Elephas maximus indicus: one gene and its partner. The protein of the gene in region 1 purifies or fractionates together with the protein of each later gene. This does not show direct contact. Links are inferred from orthologs where the notes say so. Each region holds a gene or a part of one and is shown on either strand. Other genes may lie near its edges. The genes, in order: DCAF4 and COPS5.

Region 1 (8,029 bases):
TTGTTCTGGGGAATGGCTTTGTTTCTGCACCCTGACCCATTTCTTGTTACTTTGTTTGCAGATTTGGGGATCCTCTGTTCCCTGTCTTAACCGGGCATTGCTCAAATTGCTGCCCCCTGAGGGAGTTTGCTTCAAATTGCACTGCTGTGTTACCTTAACTTATTCAACAGTTCAGAAACCTAAAAAATGATTCTGAAATCTTACCCTTGAATGTTTTATCTTACCCATTTTTATTCCTCTTAGAATTTATGTCCTCACTTCGCAAGTGTAAGAATGATTGTTCTGGCTGCCTGAACTGCACGATCTGCTGGGGGCTGGAGGCCCCAGCTGTGCTTTCTCTGCCTCTGACACCTCCCTTGGCAGTAAACAGAAGTCTATCAGGCTTTCCCTAATGATTCCTACAGCAATGGGCATCGGTGCAGCTCATTAATAATGGCACTAGCACCATGGGCTACAGGGAACAAATGTCTATTTGGTTCTAGAAAATGAGCCAATTTCATCATTAGACACTGGCCAGAGTGATGTGAAAAGAAGCCAAGTATAGAAAGAGAATCTTATTTTGCTGAAGACTCCATTGATTCTTGGTCTCCTTTGAAGGAGCTGCAGCCTCAGGGGAGAGGTAGGGAAATCACACCCATGCCTCAGGATGGAAAAACAAATGCCTGGCAAACCTCCCTCTGCAATTCTCCTTGACCTTTCCAGGTCTTTCTCAAGGTGGTGCTGCTAAACTGCTGGCATTTCCACTGTATCTGTGGAAGAAGGTTGCAATGCAATATTTTGGCTTAGTTTCACTGATTTATTGAGTAGTCGCCATGGGTGAGGCACTGTTCTAAGTGCTTTATGTGTTCCAAGTACATTTAATCAGCACACTGATATGCTTATTATCCTCATTTTTCAGATGGGGAAAATGAGGCTCAGAAAGGCCAAGCACCATGCCCAACACACCATCTCTAAATTGTGATGCAACTGGATTCGAACACAGGACTGGCTCCACAGTACGGAGCCTTAACGTCTAGGATGTATTTCAAGTGATCATGAACAGCAAGCACTAAGCAACATTTATGAAGTGTCTTCCTTCCAATGTACAAAACATTTTCAAATACATTGTCTCATTTTCTCCGTAGTTTAATACTTTTATAATCTGGAAAGCTGGGAGCACGGTGCCTCAAATTACCTCTTAATGCATAAGAGAGGAGACAAATTTGGGACAGAACAAGGAAGAAATTAATTTTATAATCAGTGTTGGTTCATCTGAGAAATGGAGGGGAAGGGACACAAGTTAGAGCTAAAGAGGTTCCTTACTTTAGCCTTCTTGGTTTACCTGACTTTGTAAATCTGTGATCCCAGAAAAAACAACCAAAAGATTACATTCCAGGCCCTCATGGCTTCTTCTGTGACCAGGAACTACATTCCCATCAGATTTTTAAAAAGCCTCCCAGGCACATACACACATAGTTCCTAATTTCAGCTCCGCTTTAAGTCCTTCTGCTGTTTCCCAACACTAGGCTGAAGATGAACGCTTCCCCACACCCCTTCTCACATCCCCTAAAGGCAATCCTCCTCCTGTCAGTGTTTAAACAGAGGTTCCAGTGCAGAAGAAACCAGGGAGGCAGTAACACCTGGAACAGTTACATGCCTCGATTTTTTTCCTGTCCTGATATCACCCTGTTTTTGCAGACTTTTTGTCCCCCCTTCTCTTAGCCTATAGCTTTTCATGCTTATAAAGCCGTTGACACTGATAAAGTCAGCCACGGAAAACAATACTCATCCTTCTAGTGTTCTATCTCGCGGAAAAAATGAGTGGTGCTCTTGGAAGCCATCGCAGGTGTCCTTTCTGCGGCCCCTCCTCTTTCTCTTCTCTAAACCATCCTTGGAAGAACCCACACTTACAAATGCTAAACAGGGGTGGGGGGAGTTTAAAAAATTATGGGAAGAATTCTCCAAACAGAAGCCCAATTCTGGGCACCAAGGGGAGAAGGTAATAAAGAAGGTGGAAAAATAGGCTCCACAGTGGCCTGTGTGTGCAAGAAAGGGCCCCACTGACTCCCTGTGGCTGAGACCCCTCCTGAGGGTAGTGCGTGGAGAAATGCATGGCTGAGGGTGAAGCCTGATAAAGGAAATGCAGTTCTGAAACATAAAAGAAGCCAGAAAAACAGCATTACTTGGCTACTCTAGATGCCTGGGGATGTAGAGTCACAAGGTGTGCATACCACCCATTTTAATGCACAGCCCAGGACACTTAGGCATCAGGGTAGGGGCAGGGCAAAAAAACAGAATCCATTCAGCACTCAGTTATGGAAGGACAAGTCTGGCTATTGTTTTCTTTTTTTGAACTAATCAGACTGAGCTTTTTCTAGAAAAGTATATAAACAAAACAAAACAAAAAAACCCAAACCCATTCCTGTGGAGTTGATTCCGACTCATAGTGACCCTACAGGACAGAGCACAACTGCCCCATACAATCCCCAAGCAGCGCCTGGTGGATTCAAACTGCTGACCTTTTGGTTAGCAGCTGAAGCGCTTAACCACTACTCTCACCAGGGTTTCCAGAAAAGTATATAAGAATATTTACTGATCTGGAAAAAAAAATGGTCACAATAATTGCTTAAACAAACAACCCAAAAAAGTAATTTCTTCAAAAAGTTCTTTCCTTAAATAGAATCCAACTGGGATGGTTCAAGAAACTTCAATGAAGGAACTATTAATAGAAGTTTAGCAGGGTAAAGAGGTCCCTAGGTGGTACAAACAGATGGTACATGTGGCTGCTAACTGAAAGGTTGGTGGTTCAAGTCCACCCAGAGGTGCCTTAGAAGAAAGGCCTAGGGATCTACTTCAGAAAAACTAGTCATTGAAAACCCTATGGAGCACAGTTTTACTCTGACATACATGGGGTCACCATGAGTCTGAATCCACTGGACGGTAACTGGATAATGGCTGGGCAAGGTAAAGGAAAAACAAGCAAACAAAAACCTGTTGGGGCACCCAGGGGCTGGCAACTGTAGAAAGCTACTACCATCTGAAGGCTTGAAGGGAGGGGAGAGAGAGAAAATGAAATTCCTGAAGCCTGCCGGGAGCTGGACTCTGAGGAGGAACCACTGCCTGAAAACATACCCCAGGGCAGGGAGGGAGGAAGCAATATTCTGATTTCTTTCTCTCACCCACCTATCTCCTGCTGATGCCTCTCATTGGTTGAACTCGTTCAGAAGTCAGATGGCAGGGAAGCCCAGGTACATTCCGTGGATTTGGAAGAGCAGGGCAAAAACGGGCAGAAAGTGCAAGGGGTTGGGGGGAGATAATGTATGCCCAGCCCAACACAGGACCCCAGTCACTTTCTATCACAACACATTCACAAATTCAAATCGAATTACAAATTCAATAGATTTTAGTATATTCACAGATGTGCATGTTGAATGAAAAAATCCAACCAATAAGTTACCTAGAGTTAAAAAGTTTCAACTGCAGAAAAAACTGACAACAGAAAGCACCCCTCCAAAGAGGTGAGCTTGTCACATTACAATTTCGATCACACAGTACAAACTGTTTCCTAAAAGAGAAATTTAAAATGATTGGTTGCCATTCCCTGAATCAGGAGGAGGCAGCTTGGACTGATTTATTAACTTTGCATTCTATAGGCTAGTTGTGGCTTATCTATTTCAGCTTTGCCCAAAACTGTCTTTATCACGACAAGTTTTTAAGTTTCTGTGAAAGGTTATGTTTAAACAAGAAGGGGGGGGGGGAGGTGTCACTTTCTTTACAACATGAAACCATCACCAGTCAATTTTAGAACATTTTTATCATCTTAAAAAGAAACCCATACCCTTTAAGTATCACCCCCTTATCCCTCACCCCATAACCCCAGACCCGGGGACCCACAACTTACTTTCTGTCTCTATAGCTTTGCCTATTCTGGACGTTTCATATGAAAGGACTCATATAATGTGGCCTTTTGTTTGGCCTCTTTCAATTAGAAGGTTTTTACGGTTCACTGACGTTGCAGCATGTATCAGAACTTCATTTCTTTATACGGTTGAATAATATTCCTTTGTATGGCTACGGAAACCCTGGTGGCCTAGTGGTTCAGAGCTACGGCTGCGAACCAAAGGGTTGGCAGTTCGAATCCGCCAGGCGCTCCTTGGAAACCCTATGGGGCAGTTCTACTCTGTCCTATAGGGTCTCTATGAGTCCGAATGGACTCGACAGCACTGGGTTCGGGTTTGATGTATGGCTATACCGCATTTTGTTAATCCATTCATCTGTTGGTGGACATTTGGGTTGTTTCCACTTTGTACTGAATTCAGCGCTGGTGAGAACGACAGAACGTTAGATCAACTTCCCTGATTCAACTGAGGAAACTGAGACCCAGAGAACGGAAGAGACTCACACAGCAAGTAAGAAATGAACTAGAGGGAGAACCCCGGTCTCCTGACTGCCAGTTTGGGGCACGCTCCTCGGCACGTCGGAGTCACGCAGGCTTCATGTCAGCTGCCTCAGACACCTAAAGTCACTGCCAAAGACGGCACCCTCTTCCTTTTGCTCTCCTTCATCTCAAAACCTCCTTTGCCCTTCCCCCAACACAATATTCCCCTCTCTCTCTCCAAGCCTCAGACTTGAAGCCAGAGGCCCCAAGAGGCGAGAGGGCTTCGGGGGCCGGGTCGTCCGTCGGCTGCAGGCAGAGAAGTAAACGAGCTTCGGAGGAAGACCCTTTACTTCAGAGCCAGCCGCCTCGGAGCCCCGCAGCTCACACAGCAGCTCCCGGCCCCCGCTCGGCCACGCCTCGGCCACGCCCCCAGCCGCGCCCGGCTCAGACCGGCCTGCAGACACGTGGCTTTCACGCTTAGGCTTGGGCGGACCCGAACCCCACGCCCCGCCTCCCGTTAGATCGACCCTATTAACGTCGACAGCCAGAAGTCACACCCAATGAGAAGGAAGCGGCGTTCGCCGTGGCCCTATCGGCTGCTACAATATAAGAACGGATACGCCCAACTGGCGGACGCTGCAGCTTGGTGGTTCCGGGTCCCGCCTAGCCTGGCTTTTACCCGTGCCGGGCCGGGACCTAGGGGCAGTCGGAAGAGACCTTCTAAGCCGGTGGGTCGGTGCTGCCTGAGGTGCGCGTTGGCGTCAGGCCGGGAGCGGCTGCTGCTCGCGTCAGGTCTCGGGTGGCTGAGGGCGTAGAGGGAGGCCAGGGAAAGGGGCGGGGAGGAGCCGAGCACGTGGAACGCCGACCTGCCCGTGGCGGAGGTAGGGACCGACCGGGCGGGCTGGGCTTCTGCCCGGGGTGCGAAATTCGTGGGCGTGGAGCGCGCGTTGCCTTGTCGGGTCGGATCTGCAGCTGTGAACACCGGGAAGGGGAAGCAGAAGGGTCGTTTTTCTAAACTCTTATCCCGGAGGCCCCACCGACCGCTTGGTGTTAGGTACCCTTGGGGGCGGTTTCTCCCCTGTTAAAGTTCAGATTGTGATAAGACTTTTTCGGACTGGTCAGGATAACAGCTTAATTCATATTGCCCACTTACTAAATGCTGGGCACTGCGCTGACTACAGGCACTAAGTTTTCCAGACAGCAGCACTATGAGGTATAGGCAGTAGTATCTTTGTCAGGTGCAGAAAGAGGGGTAGCGAGGCTGTAACTCGCGCAAGGTAGCTCACCAACTAGGAAGTGGTGGGACTCTGCCATGAACCAAAGCCTCCTGAGTCCAGACCTTGGGCCTTTAATCTCCACACTGAGTTCTGTGTTATCAAGGAAAGCCAGTATTCCACATAAGTGCTTGCAGAGTCCGGGAATCCTTGTCCCCTCGGTTGACTTGTTGTTAGGTGCCCTCCAGTCAGTTCCGAGTCAGTAGTGACCCTGTGTACAGCAGAACGAAACACTGTCCAGTCCTGCGCCATCTTCACAATCCTTGGTACCTTTGAGGCCACAATAGTAGGCGAGGGAGAGAGATGTAGAAAAAAATTCAAACTCATAAATAAGATCAGACCTACTGGTCTGGTATAGCCTGGGCAGCCTAGTGGTGAAGAGACTGGCTGCTAACCAAAGGGTTGGCAGTTCAAATTCACCAGTTGCTCCTTTGGAAACCCTATGAGGCTGTTCTCTGTCCTGTATTGTACAATGGTTTGCAGGATCCCTGACCTCTACCCACTAGATGCCAGTAGCGTCCTCAGTCCCCTGATCCCCAAAAGTTGTGACAACTGAAAATGTCTCTAAACATTAACAAATGTCCCCTGGGGGGAGGGGGAGCAAAACTGCCCTTAGTTGAGAAACGTAATCTAAAAAGGAATATGTGCCGGATTTCATGCTGTCGGCAGATAAAATTGTTTCCAATTTTGAATTTGAATTCTCATGACGTGTTTGACTTTAGAACCACGTATTGTCAATCTGTGTATCACCACTGTGCTGATAACTTTTCTGTTTAATATGCACAAAGCTTTTGTGGAGAATAAATGAGAAGTTCCTGTCTTAACAATGCAGAATAAAGCTGGGTGTAGTAAAAAATATTTTAACATTAAAGAGAGAGTCCACATGTGGGCACAAGGACAGAACAGTGTGGAAAACATAGAGTGGGTGACCCACGAGAAGCCAGAAAACGATTAATCTGACAGGCAAGAGGAGGATTAAGAGAAAGATATTCCAGAAGCAAGCTGGGGAGGGGGAAGCTTCCCCACAGTTTTCGTCCTGTGTTTGGCCCTGGGGCGCAGACTTTAGGAAAGAAAAGAAGTCCAGAGTTGTTAATGAACCTGAAGAAAAGGGAAGGGTCAAAGGATTTGAAGATCTTGATGGAGATGAAAATGGATTTAATGGGAAAAAACGATTGGAAGAAATGAGCAGAGATAGGTAAGATGAGCGGATGGGGTTTCTCAGTATGTTTTAGAGGCTGTACAGATTGCTGTTTTCTTTTAATAGATTCAGGGTACAGTTTGTCAAAGTGTGTCATCTGCAGACCACTTAATGCGTATTTGCAGCATACACAGATCAACATTTTAAAGTAATTAGAAAAATTACCTCACTTAAAAAGTGTATTGTTCCGTTTTAATGAGAGGAATGGTAATATTTGTAGTTTTTGTATGTAGTAGCTACATATGTGACTACTACACCCACAAAATTTCTCTTAATTCTTTGTATTGAATTGACCCTAACTCAAAATTGAGCGTATCTGCAAAAGGTGTTGAAATGCAAAGATGTCACTTGAAGGGCTAAGGTGCGCCTGACCCAAGCCTTGGTATTTTCAGTTGCCTCATATGTATGCAGATGACACAACCTTGCTTGCTGAAAGTGAAGATGACTTGAAGCACTTACTGATAAAGATCAAAGGCCACAGCCTTCAGTACAGATTACACCTCAACATAAAGAAAAGAAAATCCTCACAACTGGAGCAATATCATGATAAATGAAGAAAAAGATTGTAGTTGTCAGGCTTTCATTATCCGTGGACCCACAATCAACACCCATGAAAGCAGCAGTCAAGAAATCAAAAGACGCATTGCATGGGGTAAATCTGCTGCAAAGCACCTTTTTAAAGTGTTGAAAAGCAAAGATGTCACCGTGAAGACTAAGGTGTGGCTGACCCAAGCCATGGTATTTTCTGTTGCATCATATACATGTGAAAGCTGGACACTGAATAAGGGAGACTGAAGGAAGAAATTGATGCCTTTGAATTGTGTTGGCGAAGAATATTAAATATACCATGGACTGCCAAAAGAACGAATAAATCTGTCTTGGAAGAAGTTCAACTGGAATGCTCTTTGGAAGCAACGATGGTGAGACTGCGTCTTACATACTTTGGACGTGTTTTTCAGGAGGGATCAGTCTCTGGAGGACATCATGCTTGGTAAAGTACAGGGTCAGCAGAAAAGAGAAAGACCCTCAAGATGGATTGACACAGTGGCTACAGCAATGGGCTCAAGCATAACAACGATTGTAAGGATGGCGCAGGCTCAGGCAGTGTTTCGTTCTGTAGTGCGTAGGGCAGCTGTGAGTCAGAACCAACTCGATGGCATCTAACAACAATATACGTATGTGAGAGCTAGAGGATGACTA
Region 2 (7,700 bases), on another chromosome or scaffold:
GCTCCTCGATCCTGTAATTTTGAGAGCCAGCCTCTTCCAAAAGATGAGTCCTATTGCTACCTTTACAAAAACTGGACTTAAGTCACAGATAACACTAAAATGAAGGCATTTAGAAAAAAGAAATTCTAGCTCAAGAAGCCAAGCAATCACAGAAGTAAAACTGGATAATAATAGCACCTATCTCATAGGGCCGTAGTGAAGATTAAGTAATTACTTGCAAAGGAAAGCTCTGGGAACAGCGCCTGGCGCACCAGCACTCAACAAACGTTAACCACTAACCAGCACCCAGGCGCTCCGGGGGGCTTCGCCGAGCTACGGAGCCGGGCGAATGCGGAGCGAAGACGCCCGAAAGGGAGGACATGGACCGTCCCAGGTGGCTGGGGGTGAATGCCTTTTTAGGAAGCGTCAACGCGTAGTCAGGCAACCGGGTCACAACAAGACGCAGGGCTACAACCCCCGTGTCAGGGCTGCGTAATCTAGGCACCTCCCCCGTTCCACCCCGCCACCGCGAGACCCCCGCCCGCAGGCCCAGCCACCCGGACACCGCCCCCGCCCCACGACCTCCGCCACCAAGGAGCCCCTGCTCCGCCGGGCAGACAAGAGACTCCCGTTCCCTCGGGGACCCCGGCCCGGTGACCCGGGCACCGCCCGCGCCTGCCCGGCATCCCCTAGACTGCCGCCCGTAAGGAACCGCCAACCCCCAAACCCGGACACCGCCCCCGCTCTGCCCAGCAGTCGTGAGATCCCCGCACCCTGCCTCGTAGCACGGGCACCTCCCCCGGCCCGGGCGCCGCGAGACCCCCGTTCCCAGCGAACCCTCGCTCCGCGCGGCAGCCGTAAGACCTCCGCCCTTCAGCGAGCGCCGGTCCCCCGTTACCTGGACACCGCCCGCGCCAGCTCGGCAGCCGCTAGATTCCGTCCACGACTCCATCACCCGGGCATTGGCCCCGGCCGGCCAGCCGCAAGAACCCTGTGCGCAGGGACCCACCGCTCCCGCCCCCGCCGCAGGGCCGAGAACCCAGCCCCGGAGGGATCCTTCCCACAGGGCCACACCCGCAGAGCCCGCTCTCCAGCCCCAGCCGGCGGACTCTTACTCAGGAGGGCCGGTTTTCACCCGGGGAGCCGCAGAGCGCTCCGGTGAGGCGCCTTCACTGTCCAGAGAAGTGGCGGCGGCCGCCCGGCGCGGGAACAGTGTGACAGGCCACCCCGCCGGGCTCCGCCTCTCAGGCCGAGCCCTCTGCCCACCCTTTGCCAACGGCCGGGCGCGGACCCGCCCCCACTGCCGCCCTGCGGGGAGGCCTCGAGGCCTGGGGCGCCCCCTGCCGCCCGGGAGGCCGCACGGCCGCCCGCTGCACGTAAGGCTTTGTCTCCTGGTTCATGGGTTCCTTCCTGGGACTCTTAAACCTCTGTGGGAGCCACTTCCCAGGCTGAGTCCTTCCAGAGCTACTCCCGCCCCTAGGCACCGGCTGGGAACAGGGTGGTGGTCGTTAAGTGCCTTGGGGTTCTGACTCAAAGTGACCCTACTGTGTACAACAGAATGAAACACGGTTCTTCACCATCCTCACAATGTTGCTGTGTGTGAGCCCATTGTTGAAACCACTGTGTCAAACCATCTCCCTGAGGATCTCTCTTTCCCTGACCTTCTACTTTTCCAAGAATAATGTCTGTCTTCAGGGACTGGTCCCTCCTGATAAAATGTCCAAAGTACGTGAGACAAAGTCTCACCACCCTCCCTTCTAAGGAGCATTCTGACTGTATTTCTTCCAAGACAGCTGTTCATTCTTCTGCAAGTCCACGGAATATTCAATATTCTTCACCAACGCCATAATTCAAAGATGTCAGTTCTTCTTCGGCCTTCCTTATTCATTGTCCAGCTTTCCCATGCATAGGGAAAAAATTTTTTTTTTTTTTGCACAGGAGGCAACCGAAAACACGATGGCTTGGGTCAAGCACACTTTAGTCCTCAAAGTGACGTCTTTGCTTTTTAACACTTCAAAGAGGTCTTTTGAAGCAGATTTGCCCAATGCAATGTGTCATCTGATTTTCTGACTGCTGCTTCCATGGGCGTTCATTGTGGATCCAAATAAAATGAAACCTCACTCTTTTCTCCATTTATCATGATGTTGCTTATTGGTCCAGTTGCAAGGATTTTTCTTTATGTTGAGGTGTAATCCATAGTGAAGGCTGTGTCTTTGATCATCAGTAAAAGCTTCAAGTCCTCTTTGCTTTCAGCAAGCAAGGTTGTGTCATCTGCATATGGCAGGTTGTTAATGAGTTTTCCTCCAATCCTGATGTGGAGTTCTTCACATGGTCTGGCCTCTCAGATTATTTGCTCAGCATACAGACTGAATAACTATGGTGAAAGGATACAACCCTGACGCACACCTTTCCTGACTTTAAACCATGCAGTATCTCCTTGTTCTGTTTGAACGACTGCCTCTTGGTCTATGTACAGGTTCTGCATGAGCACAATTAAGTGTTCAGGAATTCCCATTCTTTGCAATGTTATCCATAATATGTTATGATCCACACAGTCAAATGCCTTTGCTTAGTCAATAAAACAGAAATAAACATCTTTCTCATATTCTCTGCTTTCAGACAAGATCCACCTGACATCAACAATGATATCCCTTGTCACACCCTCCTGAGTCCAGCTTAAATTTCTGACAGTTCCCTGTCGATGTACTGCTGCAACCGTTTTTGAATGATCTTCAGCAAAATTTTAATTGTGTGTGATATTAATTATATTGTTCAATAATTTCTGCATTCCCCCTGGATCCATTTGAGCCTGGAAAGAAAAAAGAGGAGGGGAGAAAGTGAGAAGAAAACTGTTGGCATGCTTTTACGGGGAATTACTCCTCATCCAAGAGTCTAGTCAATGTTATGTCCTGGGCTTTTATTACTATTCTCAATGTTATTCACTTCACCCCAATATTGAATGTTCCAATGTTACCACAAGAAAAGAGATCTCTAACTTCCCAGGAGAGTGGAACTAAGGGTCCTTTATCCTAAAGTACTTTGTAAGGAGACCTTTAAAGGCAAATTTTCTTCAGCTGGAAGTCAATGTGAAACCTGCAAGCCAGGGTGTGGATTCAATAACTCTAATTTTTTTTTTTTAACCATATGCCAGGCACTATACTATAGGGTTGTCATGAGCCAAAATTGACTGAATGGCAATGGGTTTTTGTTTTTTTATTATACTAAGAGTGAAGGAGGCAATGCAGAGTGTCCTGCACTGAGTCTTACAATGAAAATGAAAACTTCCAAGTAAACAAATGCATTTTAAAAATTAATAAAATACACGGTGGAAGCAATGATCACTGGAGGAGGAAGTCAAGAAAGGTTTCATGGTAGCAATCTCTGATTTGTGTTTTTAAAGATTACCACGAGTTTCCAGGCAGAAATGTCAGGGAAGAGAATTTCAAGCGGTGGTGATCGCATGTGCAAACCCAAAATAAATGCATTGGTATTTTAAGAACGAGAAGTTTTTGGGGGGGAGACTAAAGAGAGATGAAGCTAAAGAGGAGCAGAGGAACCAGGTGAACAGCTTTAACAATATTTTTTTTTTAAACAAAAATTTACTGAACATCTAATATGCTAGGAAGGAGCCAAGATGACACAGTGGTTGAAGACTCAACTGCTAACCAAAAAGGTCATCACTTTGAACCCACCGGCCGCTCTGCAGAAGAAAAGGTATGGCGATCCGCTCCCACAAAGATTACAGTCCAGGAAACCCTATGGGACGATTCTATTCTGTCATACAGGGTCGCTAGAGTTGGAATCCACTCCAAGACACAAAACAGTATGTTAGGTGTTAGAGATAAAACAAGGAATAAGACAGACCCGGTCCCCCGTTTTGGAACTTAGAATCGGGGTTGGGGTGGAGGGTGGGGTTGACCTAAAACGAGTAAACTAATAAACGGAATAATTAGACCTGGTTTTTTTTTTTTTTATTATTAACTGTTGGAAGAAAACAGGTTGCTAAAATTTTATTCGGACTCAGGGTCAGAAGAGGTTTCACAGAATGGTATTGAAGATATAACTGTATCTATTATAAAAACAGTATTGGACATTTTCAGGACAGTAACTAGCTCATAATACATTGAATACAGATGCTAATTTTTACAAACAAGCCAAGAGGGACAACCACTGAAGTCCACATGGTTCCATACCTACTCCCAACACTAGAGGACGTGCATCTGAAAACGGTGCGCCAAGCCGCCCACTTCATTTTACGCATGTGCAGTTAGTCATCTTGAAGTAAAACAGGATGACTTTATCTTCCTTTCAACCAGCATCCGGAACTAGGTACATCTCAGCCTTCCACAGACATCCTTATTTTTTAGTTATTCAGGGAACCTATCTTATTTAAGATAACCTACAACCTCACAAAGACACTTTTTCCCCCTATTATGGCTGAGGCCCTACCCATTTTTAATATGGCGGAGATCGAGCCTGCGCAGTACCAACAAAGAAGGCTAATTCCAAGTGCTGGCATAACGCGTGCATGACCTTCTTCCGGTGTGGAAGGCTGTACCATTCCCAAGCCCGATTATTGTGTTTGTTCTAACTCACACCTCTAATTTCGAGTGGATATGTTCTCATTTCAGCCACAAGGATATTTCTCTTTCCCTATTATTGTAACTGCTGTTTATACCGTCGCTTCCCCGAAGGGCCCCCGCCATCCCCGAATGGTCTGTACCACCTTCACCTCCGGTTCTAGGTGTCATGGCAGCCTCGAGAGTCTTGTAAGAGTGTAAGACCGGTGAGGGGGGAGGGTTGGAAGCCCTCGCCCCGAGACCTAGTGGGGTAAAGTTGCGTCTTGGTTGTGGAGGCAACAACTCCGACTCCTTGGCCATGGCGGCGTCTGGGAGTGGTATGGCCCAGAAAACCTGGGAATTGGCCAACAACATGCAAGAAGCTCAGAGTATCGATGAAATCTACAAATACGACAAGAAACAGCAGCAGGAAATCCTGGCGGCGAAGCCCTGGACTAAGGAGTGAGGAAGTCCCTGGCGAGACGCTGGGAAGGGAAGGGGCGGCGGGGATTTAAGAGGAGGCCCAGGGGGAGTGGGAGTTGAAGGGGGTGGAGAGCTTTGCCTTGTGTTTTCATGGTCTGGGAGGGGAGGGACTGTGCACCTGAGAGATTTCGGTTTACCTTTATCTCTGCTGCTAGAGCCTAAGTTCCTCCGCTGAGGCCTGCCGCGACTCCCCCTTCTGTCTCTTTGACCCATTTACCTCCGGGGGATGGAGGTGGGGAATGAGAAGCGGTGATTTGGGCTGACACGTCTCAGCATCCATATTATCATATATGCCACACACTCTGCCATGAAACCTGTGTGGACATTTACCAAGGTGGGGCCTTCGGCTGATGCCAGCTGGTGACTGGAGCCGTCTCTAAAATAGCTATGAGCTGTCTTTTAGAGAGGTGTAATAGTTTTTGTTTGCTGGTAGTAATGTCAGAGGCACCCAATCTCCCCAAATATTACTCCAGGCACCACTTACCATAAACCAGAAATTATATCAATAAGAGCTTAAGCCACTTTGCCTCTTACAAAGTAGATGTATCCCTGGGAATAAAGACAAGTCGAGTGTTCATCACATCATAGCATTTATACTTTCCTGAGGGAAGATTTTGATAGACAGTAAAAAGAACACAGAAAGTTACTATCTAGGCAGCGGTTGAATTCTCACCTTCCACACAGGAGACCTGTGTCGATTCGCACCAATGCACCTCAAGCAAAGCCACCACCCATCTGTCAGGGAAGGCTTGCATATTGGTATGATGCTCAGTAGGTTTCAGTGGAGCTTCCAGACTAAGATGGACTAGAAAGAAAGGCCTGGCAGATCTACTACTGAAAAACCAACCACTAGAAACCCCTATGGATCACAATGGTCAGATCCCATTGTGCATGATGTGACTGAGTCTGGGCCTACTCCATAGCAGCTAACAATGGACAGATAAGAAGGAGAGCTGTGGTCACCCACAGAAACTATATTTCCATCAGTGACTCCATGGCACTGGGTTTTTTTCCCCAGTTTTGTACAAGGCTGGCTTTAATTGACAGTATCTAGATTCAGCAGTGTTTACTGAGTACCTAATAAGAGCCGAGCACTGAGCTAGGTAGGAATTTCCATATGTCATTTAATCTTCCTGACAACCTAGTGCTATATATTCTTTTTTTGTAAATAAGAATACAAGTAAATATATTCAGTAACTTACCTCACAATGACACTGAGCAGTGAACACAACTCAAGGTCACATCTCAGAGTTGGCAGTGACTAGTTGATTGACCTTGGGAAAATTACTTATTCTCTTTGAGTCTTCAATTTTTTTCTATAAAACAGAGATAAGACTTACCTCTTGTTGGTTTAATAAAGATTATATCATGTAATGTATAAAAAGGGTCTAGAATGTATGTAACAGGAGCACATTAACTGTGCCTTCTTTTTTTTTCCCCCCAGTAAACAGAGGAGCCAAGATTTTAATTCATGTCTCTGATTCCTAAGACTAGGTCTCCATATTTTTCAGCTTGTGATTGAAATCTGGCAAAGTTTGAGAATTAAACTTGAATATTTTCTGTGGGAGGTCATCTAAAAAGCCTTCTCAGAGACTTTGACTGCTCTATTCAGACTTCTTACGTTGCCTGTTGTCTGCTTACTTCTGTAGCAGGCTGTGCATTTAAGGTTGATGTAGTCCATTTGGAAACTGTATTGGTTTGCCTCACTGATTATATTTCTAATTAAATTCAGCCTAACATCTTGGGATTCATCAATGAGACCAGAAATGTAATTTTATTCAAGAGTTGTTTAGCTCCATCCACAGATGACAAATTCTAGAATAACGATCATAAGGAAACTAGGAATATTAGGGCTACATTTTTAATTTTGAGGCTTATAGCACAGAGGGAAACATACCTTTCAATACAGTGTTCTTTGGTAGTGCCATAAAAAAAAAAAAATACATTGCCATCGAGCCAGTTTGGACTCATAGCAACCCTATAGGACGGAGTAGAACTGCCCCATAGGGTTTCCAAGGAGCAGCTGGTGGATTCAAACTGCCGACCTCTTGGTTAGCAGCCGAGCTCTTAGCCACTGTACCACCAGGGCTCCTGGTAGTGCCACAGAGAGGTTGATAATTCTAATAAGAGTTAAGTAACACTAAAGTTTCAGTATGTGTCAGGCACTGTGCTATGTACTTTATATACATTATTCCATTTACTTTAACCCTGCTTGCAGGTGGGAAACTGAGGCAAAGACATTAAGTGATTGGCTTAAGGCCACCACTAGTGGCAGTGCCAGGATTCAGACCTAGGCAGATAGATAACAGAGCCCATAGTTTTAATTATTAAGCCAGAAGGTTGGACCTGAGAACAGTTAGGCCTAACCATCCAGCCAGAGTCAGAATCAGATAATCAGTGACTCCAAAATTAATGGAGAAAAAGTCTTTTGAACCAGTCATATAATTCTCTCCTTTCTACTTGGATAGCATATTTAAAAATTTTCAGACTTTTCCTTTCTTCCAAGGGGAAATAAATGCATTTCAGATTATAACATGTTTATTATTTCCAGCTGTCTGCAGGAACTCTGTCCTTTTCTGCTGTTTTTTTCTTTCCTACAATCTGCAGTCTGTCTCCCCTTCCATCCCTGTACATTCCTTCAATATTATCTTCAAATAATAAATGTCCTTTGAAATTGTA

The links.
Region 2: the proteins of DCAF4 (region 1) and COPS5 purify together in Homo sapiens (affinity purification with mass spectrometry; 4 studies listed by BioGRID and IntAct, counting the BioPlex papers as one, with this or other methods). This does not show direct contact. The link is inferred for Elephas maximus indicus from reciprocal best matches to the Homo sapiens genes DCAF4 and COPS5.

Annotation. Positions count from the first base shown.
Region 1 is NC_064828.1:85,745,336-85,753,364, forward strand, and holds the start of DCAF4 (DDB1- and CUL4-associated factor 4), read left to right. Parts: upstream 1-4,933; 5' UTR 4,934-5,085; exon of another isoform or gene 5,086-5,149; intron 5,150-5,188; exon of another isoform or gene 5,189-5,238; intron 5,239-8,029. UniProt on the Homo sapiens protein: May function as a substrate receptor for CUL4-DDB1 E3 ubiquitin-protein ligase complex.
Region 2 is NC_064833.1:75,494,198-75,501,897, forward strand, and holds the start of COPS5 (COP9 signalosome complex subunit 5), read left to right. Parts: upstream 1-4,575; 5' UTR 4,576-4,857; coding exon 4,858-5,000; intron 5,001-7,700. UniProt on the Homo sapiens protein: Probable protease subunit of the COP9 signalosome complex (CSN), a complex involved in various cellular and developmental processes.